Linked DNA regions of Lonchura striata. The protein of the gene in region 1 interacts with the protein of each later gene in a biochemical or structural test. Links are inferred from orthologs where the notes say so. Each region holds a gene or a part of one and is shown on either strand. Other genes may lie near its edges. The genes, in order: RAPGEF2 and RAP1A.

What was found.
Region 2: the proteins of RAPGEF2 (region 1) and RAP1A form a complex in vitro, tested with the Homo sapiens proteins (2 studies listed by BioGRID and IntAct, with this or other methods). The link is inferred for Lonchura striata from reciprocal best matches to the Homo sapiens genes RAPGEF2 and RAP1A.

The regions. Positions count from the first base shown.
Region 1 is NC_134606.1:40,592,700-40,600,921, reverse strand, and holds the start of RAPGEF2 (rap guanine nucleotide exchange factor 2), read left to right. Parts: upstream 1-4,637; 5' UTR 4,638-4,709; coding exon 4,710-4,778; intron 4,779-8,222. UniProt on the Homo sapiens protein: Functions as a guanine nucleotide exchange factor (GEF), which activates Rap and Ras family of small GTPases by exchanging bound GDP for free GTP in a cAMP-dependent manner.
Region 2 is NC_134632.1:5,464,775-5,472,852, forward strand, and holds the start of RAP1A (ras-related protein Rap-1A), read left to right. Parts: upstream 1-4,902; 5' UTR 4,903-4,966; intron 4,967-8,078. UniProt on the Homo sapiens protein: Counteracts the mitogenic function of Ras, at least partly because it can interact with Ras GAPs and RAF in a competitive manner. Together with ITGB1BP1, regulates KRIT1 localization to microtubules and membranes.

The DNA.
Region 1 (8,222 bases):
CAATTTCACTGTTTCTCTCTGTGGTTAGTTTTATGTTTAAAAAAACCCCTCAAAATGCTGCTGCTACTGTTACTAGAAATAGCACTTTACTGTGCTTCTTTGTATCTCAGAATACCTAAGAAGTTTAAAAGTTGCTACTTTTGTGTCTCTTTTCACAGACGGGGAAGGTGGGGCAGATGTTGACCTGAGGTCTGGAGCACACCTTCCCAGCAGGGTACCAGGAGAGAAGACCTCCCATCTTCACTTTTACTCCTGAGGGATGAGGGGCAGACCTGTACCGTGGTCACAAGCACAGAGCAAGTTTGTGTAGATGTTCCAGACCTTCAGAAACACACACCTGACCTTCAAGAGCTGCTGCAGATTTGTTCAGTGCTCACACAGTGTGTAGCACAGTTCTGCTGTGCCTCCTGGGTGCTGCTGCAGTACAGCCACCTTTCCTTTTGTTTGGGCACCTTTATCAGTACAGCTGAAGGGAACACTGTGTGGACTGTGAATTCCTCTCCAAGATCATATAAATACTTGGACGGCACATGCTGTTTCTCTAGTATTAATCTAACTAGCTAGAGCTGGTTTGCATACATCTGCAGCTACAGCAGAAGTTTAATGATAAATACGCCCAAATGTAGCTATGCAAATAGTGGCAAATTCTGAATAAATGCATGAAATGCATTATAGTAGTCAAAAGTTCTTCTGTTTTTCCTTCAATAAAAAAAACAAAACAAAGGATGATTTTTCCTTTATGGCACAGGCCAGGTTCTCTTTTGTAATCTTCAGAATTTCATACATCTTATGAGTATAAAAGGATCATAAAACCTGTGGTAAACATTCAAGAATTATTTTACTATGGTCTGAATTAGCCTTCTACCTATCAGAGGTGCAGAGTGGTTGTTCCATATTGCGCCCATACATAAATGATTACTGGACAACAAATATCCACAATAACAGAGCATGTTATGTAAAAAATGAACAGACAAAACCACACAAACAAACAAGCAAACTCATATGCCCTTCATCATAATGCAGAAGGTACTAAAAACTGCAATTGCAAGTGGTAGTAATCCCAGCCATGTATAAATCCCAGAAGTGGGAATCATTCTTGGAAATGATGCCACCCTAAAGAGAGAGCATAGAGGCTAATCTTATTTAAAGGATAAGATACTCTCTCCTTGGTAGTGGCCTTACTTGTACCTAAAATAATTAATATTTTACTTAAAATCCAACAAAATTGGCTTCTGCCCAGTCCAGAGGGGATGGCTACTGTTCTCAAGGTCAACTCTGGAGGGGTTCACCAGGCCAATACCTCTGTTCCCCAATAACTGTCTACCTCCATGAATGGTTATGGAAGTATCTTTTTATGGTTGCCAAGAAGAAAGATATGGGAAGGAGTAGGGCAATTCTAAGGGCTGGAGTTTGACTGCATGAATCTGCTTCACCTGCTGTGCTATCTCCAGTTGATAGATGGAAACAAGTACTTACCCAAGAAATGGGAGAAAGGAGCATCCCTGGGCTTATAACCATACAGACTGTTGATAATGCTAAACTCCCTCAAAATGGCAGTGTTTTATTTCTTACCAGGGCAGACTGGTGCATCCCAAGCAAGCCAAGCATCTAACTGTGGGTGACTAACTACAGGTGTAATGAATTGAAAGTCATATGGCTAAGCTAAGTGCAAGCTTTTCAAAGTGTATTTTCTTTAAAATGAGGTTTAGCAAATGAACAAAATGTTCCCAGAACTGCTGAATTTGTTTTCTTAGCATTTTAGTAACTGTTTGACCTGACCATTTCAAATTACCACTTGAAAGAAATGGACATATTCAGGAGGGCAGATACCCTGTCTTTCTAAGGCAAAATACTTCTATAAAATAACATAGCTATTACTTCTAGCTATCCAAAAAAGATATTATGCTGAGCTGTCATATTTTGTGTTGCAGCGTTTTCATACTGTTGAAATAGCAACATTATATGAACTGCATGTGTATAGTTAACTCTTGGTTTCCTGGTGTAAGATGGGTAGGAAACCTGTGTAATGTATTACCATGACCAGAAAAACACTCCCCCTCAAAACAAACAAACAAACAAAAAAACCACCAACCAACCCAATCCATTGTAAATAAGGGTAAAGCTAGATAATATATCCTGAAGAGTAACCAATAAGCAAAATGAATGGCATGTCCTGGTATATATGTGTATTTAAAATCATACTGATTTTTTGTTGAAGATGAAAAACCGGAAGGCAGTAAGACTAAGAGAAAATGTAAGTTGCAAAAGCATTTGACACTGTAAATTATGTTTTGTTGAATACTTGCAGTGAAAAATGGGGGTTTCTGGAGATAATTGCATGTTTTCTCAAGTAATAACTGTCCTTACTCTGAATCTTGATGATTATTTACTGATTTATTGTTTATTTTTTTCTATTCAGAAGTAACTAGACTGATTTCAGCAAGAGAAAAAAAAATGGCATAAAGGACATGCTAGTATCCACCATGGAGGATATGAATAATCAGAAGTATTTGCTTTATACAAATATGTTGCTTACAGACACAAGAAAAGGTGTTAACACAACACATCCTTAAATATTATTGAGAAGTTGTTGAGTATATTTGTACATAGTTCTCTATGTACAGTTCTCTTCTTTCATTCATTCCCATTTCTAACAAGTCACGTAATGTGTTATAGGCCTTTGACACAGATCTATAACCATCGAGATTTGTGACACTGATCAGAATACAATGAGAGCCCTGAAATCCCATTCTCTGAAGAGGAATATCCCTATGAATCACAGGTATTGTGTTACCAGACAGCACAGCAAAAAATTAACCAGAGCAAAACACTCGACTTGATGCTGTTACAGCTAATAGGTCTGAAATGAAAGATAATTGCATATTAAAATAGAGTGGGTAGCTCTGTTTTGATGTAGAGATATAAAGATGTCAGGCAAGCTAGGCTGCAGCAGCAGGGAATGGGTGCCCTGAAGTGATTGAGGAGTGAAGCCCAAGAGAGCATTCCTCACATTCCTGTGGCACTCCTGCTATACATATGCCCCCCAAAAAAAGGGCATTCCAGCACTCCGGATTGGTAAACTGAGCTGCAGAAAAGCTGGCACTTTTCTATAGCTGCAGGCTTGATTAATTTGAAGGAATTATTATCATCACTGGATGATGAACACGAGGCATATTTAAACTGTTATTTTTTAGGGCACAGGACATGACATTTTCAATCTGTTACTAAAAAAAAAAAAAAAAAAAATTAAAATCCCCCATAAGGACTTCTAGTAAGCACCGATAAGCAAGATATAGAGAATGTGGAGCACTCCCTAGTATTTTCCAATGATCTGCCCAGAATAATTGGTATTACTGCAAAAATATTTTGCTGACACATATGAGTAGGATTAGCCCAAAGAGCTATCTTTGTTAATGAGCCGTATCTAGAAATTGAGTAGGTTTAGTAGATTCCTGTCTGAAGACACAGCATTTTTGAGAGCCACTTGTGTCTAAAAGCGTAACATTTTTTTCTCCTGGGACTAGCAGTGTATGTTTGGTAAGGAAAAGATGGTTATCTCTGGGAATTTTCACAAATACAAACATGAAATAAAGATGACACTACCTTACTTGGAATTGAAATGTGACTGCTAGTGACTGGGAATTAAAGAGATTTATTAGTGTTGACATTATTTACATTGTGTGATCCGTATCAGCGAAGGGTACACATCACTTGTGAAAGCAAATACATTAATAGTATTACCCCGCCGCTAATGGCACGCTAATAATACTTCCATGGTTGGCGTTTGTCAGGCTGCTGCTGAGACGGGCTCGGTGTCGCGGTAAACAAAGAAAATCAGCCATGTTGCGAGATCCTTTATTCTTTAAAAACTTAAGTTCACGTGAGAAGAATCCGCCGCTAGATAACCCCCAGAACAGTGATAAATTAACGATTTCACACCCCTCCCTTCCCCGTTTTTGCCCCACATAGCAATGACAGAGGGGACAGCCGGCTGATACGGATTACTTTTGAGAAGCGTGACAACAGGTGGCCTCCCCGAAGTCACTAGATTCGGCAGACCAAGTCTTTATCAAGTCTTTATTTTTTTTTTTTTTTTTTGGCGTCCAGGTTGCCCATCACCAGTATCCGTGCACAGGGAGCACCGCCGAAGCTGCGATGATGCGCGTCCCTCGGGACCATGGCGGCGGCCGCTCAGACTTCTTTTTTGTGGTTAAACCTGGCCAGGATGTGTTCCCAGGGGGAGGATGCTGAGGCACCGTAGCCGGAGGGGACCCTGCCGGCGGCGACCCCCGGCGACCCGCCCCCCCCCTCCTCCTCCGTCCCGCCTCGGCCCGCCCCCCGCCGCTCCGCCTCCCCGAGCCGGCAACTTCCCCGTCGCCGAGGCGGGCGCGGAGTCCCCCATCAGCCCGGATGGGAGGAGGAGGAAGAGGAGGGAGGAGGCGACGAGGACGGTGCCCGAGGGGATGCGGCGGAGCGGGCCGGCGGGAGGCGTAGAGCCGGCTCGGGAGGGAGCGCCGAGCCCTGGTCGCCGCCGCTGCCCCCGGCGGGGCTCGGCCGCCGCCGGCAGCTCCGGGCGGCGGCGCTGCTGAGCCCGCGGTGCCTGCGCGCCGCCGCTCCCCGCTCCTCGCCCGCTCCGGCCGCGCAGCGCCAGGCCGCGGCCGCCCTCCCCCAGCGCCTCCCGGGCGGCGGCGGGAGGCGGCAGGGGCGCGATGGCGTCCTACGTGGATAACAGCTTCCGCCAGGCGGTGATGAAGAACCCGGCGGAGCGCAGCCCCCAGGTAAGCGCGCCGTGCCCCGCGGCTCCCGCGGGCGGAGGGGCCGCCCCGCTGCCCCCGCCCGCCCCGCGCAGCCCCGGCCGGGGCGGTCGGAGCCCCACGGCCCCGCTTCGGGCGGCGCGGCCACGGCTGACCCCGCTCCCAGCCCCCGCCGAACTCCCCAGCGCCGAATTCCCGGTCGGCAGCTCCCGGGAAGGGAAGGCGCGCATTAACGCGACAACTTTCCTCCTACTCCCTAATTTTGGGGGAAGGAGAGGGAGAAACGCCAGCTGGGTTTGTTTTGAAGGTTGCTTCCGGTGAAAAGAAAATGAACTTAGAGTACAATTTTTCGGTGATGTGGTTTTCCTTTTTTCCTTTCTTCTCTCTCTCTCTCTCTCTCTCTTTTTTTTTTTTTTTCCCTCTGTGTGTCAGTGTGTGTGTTTTGTTATTGCCCCGGAGTACGGGTGGCTCAGGATTTGAATTCAATCCCTACTTTTACATAGCTGGCTGGAGCTGGCAGTGCTGTTTCATAATGTAGGGGCTGAGGTCAGTGGTATTCTTGGCAAGTCCTTGCTCTCCAAAGTAGGGTGAAATCCTTACACAATGGCACCAGGCAGGAATTTTTTAGATACCTGCGCCGCGATCCTGGAGCCCCCTTTATCAGAGGAGTGTGTGAGTCGAAGCTGTTTGTAAGCGTAGTTGCGCTTAGAGAGGCTGAGAAAGGTTAAGCTGGGGACTGGAGTGCGTACGGAAACATTTTGACTTAACATGACCTGAAAAACAACTAAACTGAATGAGTTCCTTCTGCTCCCGAACGGTTGCTGCAGTGGCTGTTGCTGCCAACTGTCTAAAGACTAATAAGCTTTACACTGATCCCCACATCAAGCTGCGGTTCAATAGCTAATGATACAAGGAGTTACTTTGCTTGGAGTTGTAATGCCATCTGTCCTATTTTCTAAAGGCTTGTCCTGCTCTCTGAGCAGTCCCTGTATTCGGGTTTTGGGGAAGAGATGCTGTTACTGATTGTTTTGGCAGGCGTCTGACTGGCTGGTGATGATTTCAAATTGGGGCAAAGAGGAAACCTTGACTTCTGCTCAGCACCCATAAGTCATTCCTCCTACTATAGATACGTCATTGTGGTAATGTTATTTTTATCCCTGTACTCATGGAATCTGTGTGAGAAAATAAAACTTCTCATGGAAAAACATACTGACTGCATAGGCATCGTATGTGGCATGCCTTTTTGGCAACTCTGTTTTTTTCTTCTTTTTTTAAAAAAAAAAAGAAAAGGAAGCTGCTTCTGGAACATGTTTTTGTGGTGCTAAACTTGTTTCTCTGTCCTTGTTTGACCTTTTCCAAATGTCTGTTTGCCTTGAGTGCTGGACCCAGCCCTTCAGCGTGTTGTGAAAGCTGAAGGAGGCTGAGTGCTCCCTCCTGGAGAAGACACTCTCTGCAAACTCGCAGCGAGGTCCCTTGAATTGGTAGAGGCATAGATTCCAGCTGGGGGGAGCCTAGCAGCAGTGTCCAGCCTCAGGACATGGTTATGGAAGCACGGTGGGGTGCTCAGGAGGAGAGATGCAGGCAGATGCTCAAAAACCACTAGGTCAGGCTGTGGGGCCACCAGGCTGGGCTTGGGGGATGATGCTTTCCCTGTGGTGTGAACTGTTAAACTTTCTCATGTCCTTGCCAGTTGGCCTTGCTGTCTAGAAGGGATAATAAGGAAACACAGAAAGGTAGAGAGTAAGAAATGACGCAGTGAAGAATCCAGCCTGAATGCAGGGATAAAGCCCAGTGAAGGGCACAGAGCAGAGAGCTAAATTGGGAACACCAGGGCTGCGTTAGTGCTGGAAAACTTCCCCAGTCAGCACGCTGGCAGCCTGCTGTGGCAATCACCACAGGAAAAGAAACCCACCCTTAAATCCATGAAACTGACACTGACCCAAAATAATCCACAAATAAGACCAAGTATGTGGGAAATCTAATGCATTGTTAGCGCTGGAAATACTTGAAACTGGTGGTGCCCTCCTGTTGCTGCTGGAGAGATTGGGCTTGCAGCAGAAAACCTGGTGTTTTTGTAAATGGCTCGTGTTGAATTATGTGTGTTAATTTTCTACTGATGGTTCTCTGTTAAGTAAGTTTGATTTTATTTTACAACTGTATTGCAATTTGAAAGAAATATGTTTATGCACTTCATCTTTCATCATTACATGAAAAGGAAAAAATATATAGAAATGTACAAAGACCTTGTTTTTCCTTCTTCCCTTCAAGTAACTTATTGTCTCTTTACTTGTCTTTTCCTGTCCTTGCTATGCTATCTCTAAAAGAGAGCTACTTAATTTTGGTTTTTGGAAAGTCATGAGGGTTTTTTAAAGTTGAGAGAGGGTTGGAAAGAGAAAATATATTTATCATATTCATGTCAGTGCAGGAAATAGCAAGGGAAGTATGTTAGTAGCATATTTGCTTCTTTCTTATGTTAGCAAACTCTTTGGGGCTCAGCTTCTCCCAAATAATGATGAGGTAAATATCTGTTTGACATTTCTATTCACCCTGGACTGTCAGGGTGCAAATTTGGCACCATGCCTTCACTGCAGGCTCAGAGGACAGGAGTGACAGAATGATAGCCAGTATGTACAACTTAGAGAAGTAGGTCTGATAAACATTGTTGGGGAAAGCAAACTTAACTTGGCATGAACATTTATAGTGCAAAAATCTCCTGGTAATTTTGGATTGAACTGATTTTTTTTTTCCTTGAGGTAAACAGTTTATTCTGCAACTGCTTTTGTAAATTTATAACTTTATATCTCTTTGGTATATCCTCCTTTACAGAGTGTTCCTGACTTTTGTGAATCACAACTCGGTATTCTGTTGGCTAAAGAAAATGAGAAATAAAAGAAAAGGATTTATACGTGGCCTGTACTTTAACATGCCTGTTGTGTAACTCTTCTCTTTAATTGATGTATTAAACTATTCATTTTCTCTTTGAAGACATGAACTAGGAAGTTAATTTAACTACTTTGGGGAATCTAGCTTTTAAATGTTCATAAATTACAAATGGTTTTATGCCCTTAAGCTGTGAGTAATAGTGATCTAGTTTTTTTCTCTCCTAACATCCTCTCATATGGACTGTTATAGCTTTGATTCTTTATAAAAATTCTTTTTGGCATCATAGGCCATTTTAGAAAGCATGCAGTTTTATATTGTTGTAGCTTGGCTTGAAAAAATAGGGCTGCTTTTGTTTTCAAACAAGAGAAACTGAGCCCTAATCTTTCTTTATCCTAACAACTCATTTGCATGGCATGGTATATGAATAGCTGGTTGCTTCAGAAACTCTGCATACTGTTCACTGTTTTCATGCCATGTGGTGACGTCTGTAGGAAGAAATTTTTTGAGTGTGTGCCTTATACATGTTAGATGCCCAAGGTTTGCTTCTGGGAACTGCCAGTGTGGTACACCAGGGCAGTTCAACAC
Region 2 (8,078 bases), on another chromosome or scaffold:
GAGGTTTGGTACCCAGAGATGGAGGAGGCACCGCCCGGCCACGGGCTGAGCGAGTGCCTGGCTCCACAGGGCTGCACAGGAAGAGGTTGGGCAATAGAAAATGTGTGCTTGCAGCTGCCTCTGAGCAGTGAGCACAGTTTGTCAGCTGGAAGAATAACACTTGTTGCTGCTCACGTTGAGCTCTCTGTCCCAGTTTCTCCTGCTTGAGGCTGGGCCTGTCCCCGCAGGGCTTGGGGAGTTCCAGGCTCCTCTGGTTTGGGTTTTTCTTGTGCAAATGCAGCAGCTCTGCCCCAGCCGTGCTGCCAGCTGTGGATGGGGTTAGTGGGGGCAGAACCAGGCCCTGGGCTGTGCTCTGGGGGCTCTGTGCAGGTGCCTGGGAGCGCCTGGGAGCTAAGCCAGGAGAGGTGCCCAGGCTGCTGGCTCTGCTCAGGTTCAGCTCTCTGAGGGTCCTTTCCTTCACAGGCTCCTCTGGGAGGAAATCCAGGCTGCTAGAGCTTTGGACAGGGAAATTCCTGCTTGCAGAAAGCAGAGAGCGAGCAGCCCGTTGTGCTGCTGTCACCCTGAACCATGGGAATCCCTGTCCATGGCAATTGGCAGCTCCCTGCCGTAGCTGAGCAGGGGAAGTGGGATTTGTGCTTCCTTCCCCAGTGAGTTTCACAGCCTCTGATGGTATTTATAGAGCCCTTGAACCAGAAACCCCGATCAGCCTCTGCCTTTCTCCTGACTCTGCAGAGCTGCAGACACCAGACAGACTCCAGGCCCTTCTGGCATGCTCACAAGGAAGGGAAATGTTTGGGAAGCTGCAAAAGAAGCCTCCCTGCATCCCATGTCCCTTTCGGAGCCACAAAGGAGGAAAGCCCAGGCTTGCTGGTGGTTTTGGTAGGGGAGGTCTTGTTCCTGCCTCCTCACCCTTTCTGCAGTCCCGGTGCTCACATCCTTAGGGCTCAAACCTGGAAAATACCTGAGTTTGCACTGGGATCCAGCCTTGCCTGGGATTTCAAGGGATTTAGGGACACTGGATGGGCTGGGGAGGAGCATGGCCCCAGCACTGCTGCCCAGGAGCAAAGCCAGTGCAGGCTTTCCCTTTGGAAGCCTGCTGGAGCTCTGCAGAGCCCTGCCTTGGGACCAGCCACCCCTCCCAGACCCCACAGCTCCCCTCTAATCTGCCTAATTGCCTGGTAGCTTCCCAGCCAGCCAGTGGGCTTGGAACAAAGCCAGCCTGCAGTGGGAGCAGGGATCAGGGATGGGGCTTCCAGGGAATCTGGTCCTGTCTGCTCTGGGAACAGCTCAGGCTCGGAGCTCTCCTGCCCTGCAGAGCTGGGGAAGCTGGGCTGAGTTAAATGATCCCTTCTGCTCGGCAAGGACAGCGTGGGAGGTGAGCTGTGAGCTCGGTGACCCTCAGCCAGGGCAGCTGCTGGCAGCCATGTGCCTGCTCACTGCTAATTACATCATTAGTCATTATTCATAATTATACACTGCAATCTCATCTGGAAAGAAAATATTATGCTTGCACTTCAAAGGCTTGTGTTGAGGTCTTTGGAATGAGCGTTTTTCTCTTGATTCTTCCCTGACTAGAGTTTAAAGAGTGATTATTGTAAGTTTAGAGAGCACCAGCTCCTTCCTTGTGCAGCTTAAGTTCAGACAGGAGCAGGATGCAGTCAGCACCTTCACTTCTGACAGCCAGGGCACAGGATAACGTGTAATTAGCCTGCATGGTGTCAAACCCACTTTCATTTACTTCCAGCCCTCTGATTCTATCAGCCAGGAATCCAAGGTCATTATGCAATCACAAATTGTTTCTGAATTTCATTAAATCAGCAAATGGGCCTTAGCTACATATTTACATCAGCTGAACTTGTGATAATTTATCCAATTGGGCAATTATTGTTTTGGAATAAAAGAAGTCCCGAAGGATTCTGCTTCATATTAATTTGCCTGCAGAAGACTCAGTGCAACCTCGGCAACTCAGCTGCAAAAGCAGGTGAAAAGTTGCAATCCTGTTGCAGGTTCTGGGATAAACAAGTGTTTTCCTTTCAGTCTTTTACCACTGCCATACAGCAGGAAAAGGGGAGTGAAATCTTGGTGTAATTTAATATGAATGGATTTAGAGTTCAGGAAAGAAGCTATTGTGGCAACTCCTGCTTTGTACAAACAGATGGGCTGTGAGAAATGACACCTTTTGCAATAAAACTGCACAGGGACGGGTCACTGGATTTCTTGGGCTGCGTCCAGGACATTACAGGCTGTGTCCTGTATGTGACAGGGTGCAGGGAATCGATTCTCTGTGCTCACCTCCTGTGCTGCTGCTGAGCTGGTGTGCAGTGGAGCTGGGGCTGGTGCAGGTTCCAGCCCTCCAGGCAGGTGTCCCTGCAGTCATGGACTTGCCAGAAGTAGGGAAAGCACCCAGGAGACACAGGCGTGGATGTCACTGCCTGCTGCCAGAGGGGATTTGCTGACCACAGCCCACTGCTGGGCGAGAGCTACGGAGCAGCAGGCAGGAGGGAGAGCTCTGGCTCAGGGGCTGCATCTGCCCGAGCGAGGGCAGGACTGGGAGAAACGGATCCAGATGTTTGCCCTGCACGAGTCACTAGGAAAAGTGCCTCTGAGTTCACTGAACTTGGCCCTGCTTCTCCTCTTCTAATCATTTCATAGCCAGGTTCACACTCATCCAGATCTAATTTCATGTACTTGCAAAGCCTGACTCAGCAATAAATGTTATCAGCCTCCACTGAAACCTGCAGAAAACGGGGGAAGAAGTCAACCTTCCCAGAACACACATCAAAAAGGAGCTCTGTCTTGCTGAGTCAGGCCCTCACTGTGCCTGGACCCTTATTGTTTTGAAACTTGGAAGATGGTCCACAAGCCATGAAATAGATAAGTGTGTGATTCTTAGATACAATAAAACTCTTCAGTTGGTGTTCAGTGGGAAGAGCTGCAAATGTCTTGATATCTGGGGCAAAGCTTGTTAAAGCTTTAATTTCAAAGGAAATTTGGGGTGAAGCCTTCAGAATGCTCAAATGTACACTGAGTCTTTTAAAGGAATTGCATCCCTTGCCGTTTCTGCCCATAGGAATGTGTTTTTACACAGCTTTTAAAACAGAAGTTACTGCTGATTTTGTCCCTGCCTGTTTTCCAGACACAGGCAATGTTTTTAAACATTGACCTAGTAACTTCCTAAGTTCATAGATTTCACGATAACATTTGTACTCTGAAGAAACGAGGTGCTCAACCACGAGTGCTGAGCATCCTTCAAGGCAGATGCTTTTGCCACCCCGACTGTCCCACTGTGCCTGAGCCTCTCAGGGCTGAGGCTGCCAAATCCTGCAAAGTGTGGAAATCTTTTGCTGACATCGCCCTGCCTCCAGCGACTCCAATGCAGCCGTGATTCACCTGGCTCCCAGCACGGTGGTCCCCAGGGAAGGAGACACCTCTTAAGCCATAAAAACAGGGATTTACAGATGGGTATCAGCAGCCACAAATTGTACCTGGAAGCAAAATTGTGCGCTGTGTATTTATTTCTGCTGCACGCACAGAGCTGTGAGAGGAGAACTGGAGCACTTTCAGTTACAGAGGGTGAGTGGGGACGCTGAGCTCTGTGTGCCTCCTGGCTGCTCACTTGCTGGGCATTTTGGATAAGTCATTTAATCTTTGTTTTCTCATCTGTACAGCCACACAAGTAATATTTAGCATTTTTGTTGGAGTTCTGGATGAGAGGCAGCATGACTGCTAAAATATTGTTGCTGTAGCGTGTGACCTCAGGGAATCTGCTCGTGTCCCTGAAGTTTTGCAAGCGGCGGTGGGGAGTGTGGGGAGGCCCGTGGGTGTGCTGCTGCTGCTGCTGGCACCGTCCTCTGCAGGAGCATCCCCAGGGACAGCCGCAGTGCTCCTCCTGTCCCCGGTTACGTGAGGAGGTGACAGTGCTTGGAGCTCGAGAGATCCCTCTGCACCTCGTGGAGAGCGGGCATCGCAACCACGGAAGCTACTACAGCTCCTCTGGGGTATTTATGCATTCTTAACAAGAAAAAAAGCCCCTGAACTTTATTGACTGTTGACATTAGGTTTTCTGGAGTGTGCAGTTTGGAGCTGAATTATAGTTGAAGTTGGGGCTAATGAGGCCATCTCCCAGATCAGCGACTGTGCAGGACTTCTGACCTGATCCTCTCTGTCCGGCTGCCGTCACCTACAAACCTCGGTGACAAAAACACCATCAGGACCTGTATGTGCCGTTCCCTCTTCCCCAGTTTTATCTGTTTCGTGTCAATTACATGTGCACTTCCGTGTTACAGCTCTTTCTTTTCATAGTTTTCTACAAAAATAAACAAAACACTTTGAAGTGCTCTCCCGGGTCGGAACCGGGACGGAACCGGGACAGAACCGGGACGGAGCCGGGACGGAGCCGGGATGGAACCCGGACGGAGCCGGGACGGAGCCGGGATGGAACCCGGACGGAGCCGGGACAGAACCGGGACGGAGCCGGAACGGAGCCGGGACAGAACCGGGACAGAACCGGGACGGAACCGGGACGGAGCCGGAACGGAGCCGGGACAGAACCGGGACGGAGCCGGGACGGAGCCGGGACGGAACCCGGACGGAACCGGGACGGAGCCGGGACGGAACCGGGACGGAGCCGGGACAGAACCGGGACGGAACCGGCTCCGCCGGCCGCGCACCCCCGGGACAGAGCCGGGACGGAACCCGGACAGAACCGGGACGGAACCGGCCCCGCCGGCCGCGCACCCCCGGCCCGGCCCGAGCCCCGCACCTGCCCCGGCCCTCCCGGAACTCCGGCCGTCCCCGCCCGCCCCGCTGGCTCCTCCCCGGGCCGCGGCCGCGGAGGGCGGAGCGGACGCGGCGCCGCCGCCGCGCAGAGCAGCAGCGGCAGCGGCAGCGGCCCGGCCCGGCCCGAGCCCCGAGCCCGGCCCGCAGCGGCGGCGGAGCGGCGGCGGGAGGCGGCCCGGGGGCGGCGGTGAGCGGGGGCGGCGGCGGGCCGGGCCGGGCGGCGGCGGGCGGAGCGGCGGCCGCGGCCGTCCCGGCGGGCCCTGGAGGCCGCGCGGGCGGAGCGGGGCAGCGGCCGGCGCGGGGTCCGGCGGGGCCGGGCGGCGGCGGGGCCGCGCCGGCCGCTCCCTCCCGCGGCCCGGCCGGCAGCGCGGGGAGGCGGCTTGGCCCCGTCCGTCCGGCCGGCCCCGCCGGTCCGTCCCGCATCCATCGCGTGCGGCCCCGGGCGGGCTGCGCGCTGCCCGCGGTGCCGCCGGGCTCGGGATCAGCGCAATTGCCGCGGTGGCGGCGGGGTCAGGTGTGTGCGGTGCCCCGCTGCTCCCCGCGCTGGGAAGGGGCGCGGGGATCGTGCGGGGCCGAGGAGCGCCGGAGTGAAGGGACAGCGAGGCCGGAGGCACGGAGGGTGGGCTGGCACAGGCACGGCAGGACGGGGCACAGCCTGTACGAACCGGCCTGATGGGCGGCAGGAGGTTTGGGCAGCTGGGACAAGCCAAGGGGCAGCCCCCCGTGAGCCACGTGGAGCAGCGGGCTGGCCCATCCTCATCCTCCCCATCCTCACCCTCCTGTCCATCCCCATCCTCACCCTCCTGTCCATCCCCATCCTCACCCTCCTGTCCATCCCCATCCTCACCCTCCCAGCCCATCCTCATCCTCCACTCCCAAGGACTGGTTGTGTCAGACCACCTCAGCTCTGAAAAGGGTTCTTGCACTTCCTTCAGTCGCTTTAAAGAGAAACTGTGCTCTGTGTAGGGAAGCTTTGGTGTTTAGATACTTCTCGTTAATTGGTGCCTTTGCTTGCGATATTTGAGGTACAGGGCATGTGGGTTTGGTGCAGGGATTCCTGCGAAGTCTCCTCGGTGGGAAGGTTGGGGTTTGGATGCAGTGAGCCAGTTCCCCCTGACACAGAGCTGGAATTGGGTCTTGCTTTGCGCACAGCTTGGAAAGAGCTGCAAACAGGAAGGGCAAACGATGAAAACTGCGTTTTTTCCTTTCAGTAGCTTAACAGGGGAGATAATATATCTTAAAATAGTGTTTGACTTGAAAACGCCTGTCTGCCTTCGGAGTATTGTACCGGCACTCTGTAATTTCTGCTGCTGTTGTAATTCTCTCTGAGTAGTTGTGTTGCTCCACGCAAAGAGACACCAGATTATTTGAAGACTTGAGGAAAGCGTCTGTTCAGTTGACAGTGCCTGTCTGCTGTGAAATGTTTCACTGTTGTGATTTGTGTCATTGCCTTTTTCATGCTGAAATGGTGTGTCAGTAATTCTCCCTGGTGTAGCGGATCCTCGGATCTGAAAGGGTTTTAATGCGGGAATTTGTGAGACTCTCAGGAAGTAATGGATGAAGCTTGTAGAAACAGAGAATGGTGCATTAGCAAAGCTCTGTGCCTTTAATGAGAAGTTATCCAAAACCAGGCAAGTTAAAGGGAAGTTCCAGATGGAGCTTTTGTGGTCTCCGCAACTTTCTGAATTCACAGAAGCGATATATTTCACAAGTATGAAATGCTGTCTGATTATTCTGACATCATTATCACGTTGCTATAGTGACTTCATTGCGCTGGGAATGCCATGTTCACATCCGGTTGCTATGGAAAAAATCAGTGTCATAAATAAAAACATTTAATGTTCTGTTCATCCCTGCGGCAGGAAAAAAGGCATCGATTTATTGACGCGAGTGAAGACTGGCAACATATTCCAACAGAAGCGCTTAGTGCCAAGTCACAAACTGGGAAATTGTCGCTTGCCGCTCTCGGCAGATTGTCCCTTGCCTCTCTGTGTTGTGGCAGGTAGCAGAAGTTGTGAAATCCTGGGTTTGGAACGGAGGGTGACAGAGCGTCTGTCGTTCTTCAAGGTGGAGCCGGCAGGAAGTGCTGCGCTCGCACCGCTTCTAAAAATAATCTGTTTTTATGCACAGCGTTGGCGTGCCTCGCAGGAGCAGAGCTGCCCCGCTCAGGGCAGCTCCTGCACGGGATGGGGCTGCCCGGGAGCTGCGGGGCTGGGGAGCCTTAGGGCCAGCCTGGGATGGAGCTGTCCCAGGCCAGAGCTGTCCCACCTGGGCTGTCACCCCGGAGCTGTCCCAGCCGGGCTGTCCCACCTGGGCTGTCACCCCGGGCTGTCACCCCAGTGCCCGCCAGGCCGGAGCTGTCACCCCAGGCTGTCACCCTGGGGCTCCCCGGAGCCCAGCGCTGCCTGCCATCACGTGTCCTGGCTCTGGCGTGGCTGTTTTTAGGGTAAGTAGCTTTGCTGAAGGTTCTGAGAGGATCTCCTGCCAAACGGGCTGAATTAACTCGCACTGCCCAAGTCCAGCACAGGTTAATGCTTTTATTTGGAGACTGGTGTTTACACAGGGCATCAGAACAGTTTATATGTGAAGCCATGAGCTGCAAATACACGGACATAGGTTATTAGTGATACATTTCGTGGCTGCTCGGCCAGTCTGAGGACTGTTCTTAAAAAAACTGAAAAGTAATTAAATGGCAGGAGGGCAACATGTGGATGTGCTTGAACATTAAAGTTGTAATTGTATATTGAATCATCGTGCTGGGCATAAACAACAGCAAGCACTTGTTTGTACTTTATATTGCAGTGCTTTTTCTCGTACCCTGCACGTGCACAGCGCACTCGGTGGCACTTTGAACTCGTGCTCAGTGTTTAGAGAACAGATTGCTTCTGTGCAGCTTTGCAGACTTAAAAAAATCATCTTCAAGAGGAATCCTAATGCTCTGACAACAGGAACCTGTTATCTGCTTTCCTAGAGAAAACAAAGTGTATCTTTTGAACATACATAAGTTCAAACCTTTAGGCTTTATATTTGAAGTGTTTTTTATGTGTAGCTGTTTGAAGTTCAGGATTATCCTTGATCCAGTGTTACTTTCAACCTTGCCAAAATCAGCTTAGCTGGCTCTGGCTGTGGATGCTGATCAAAACTCTTGGGTTTTAGGGCACTATGGGAGACCTACTATTTTATCAGTTTCTTTTAATTTCTGATGAGCCACATTCATGTTGAACATCAGTCGCTTCTTATAACTTCGTGTATTTAATTCTGCAGAAGCAGATTCAAGAGAGACACAATTTTTAAAACTT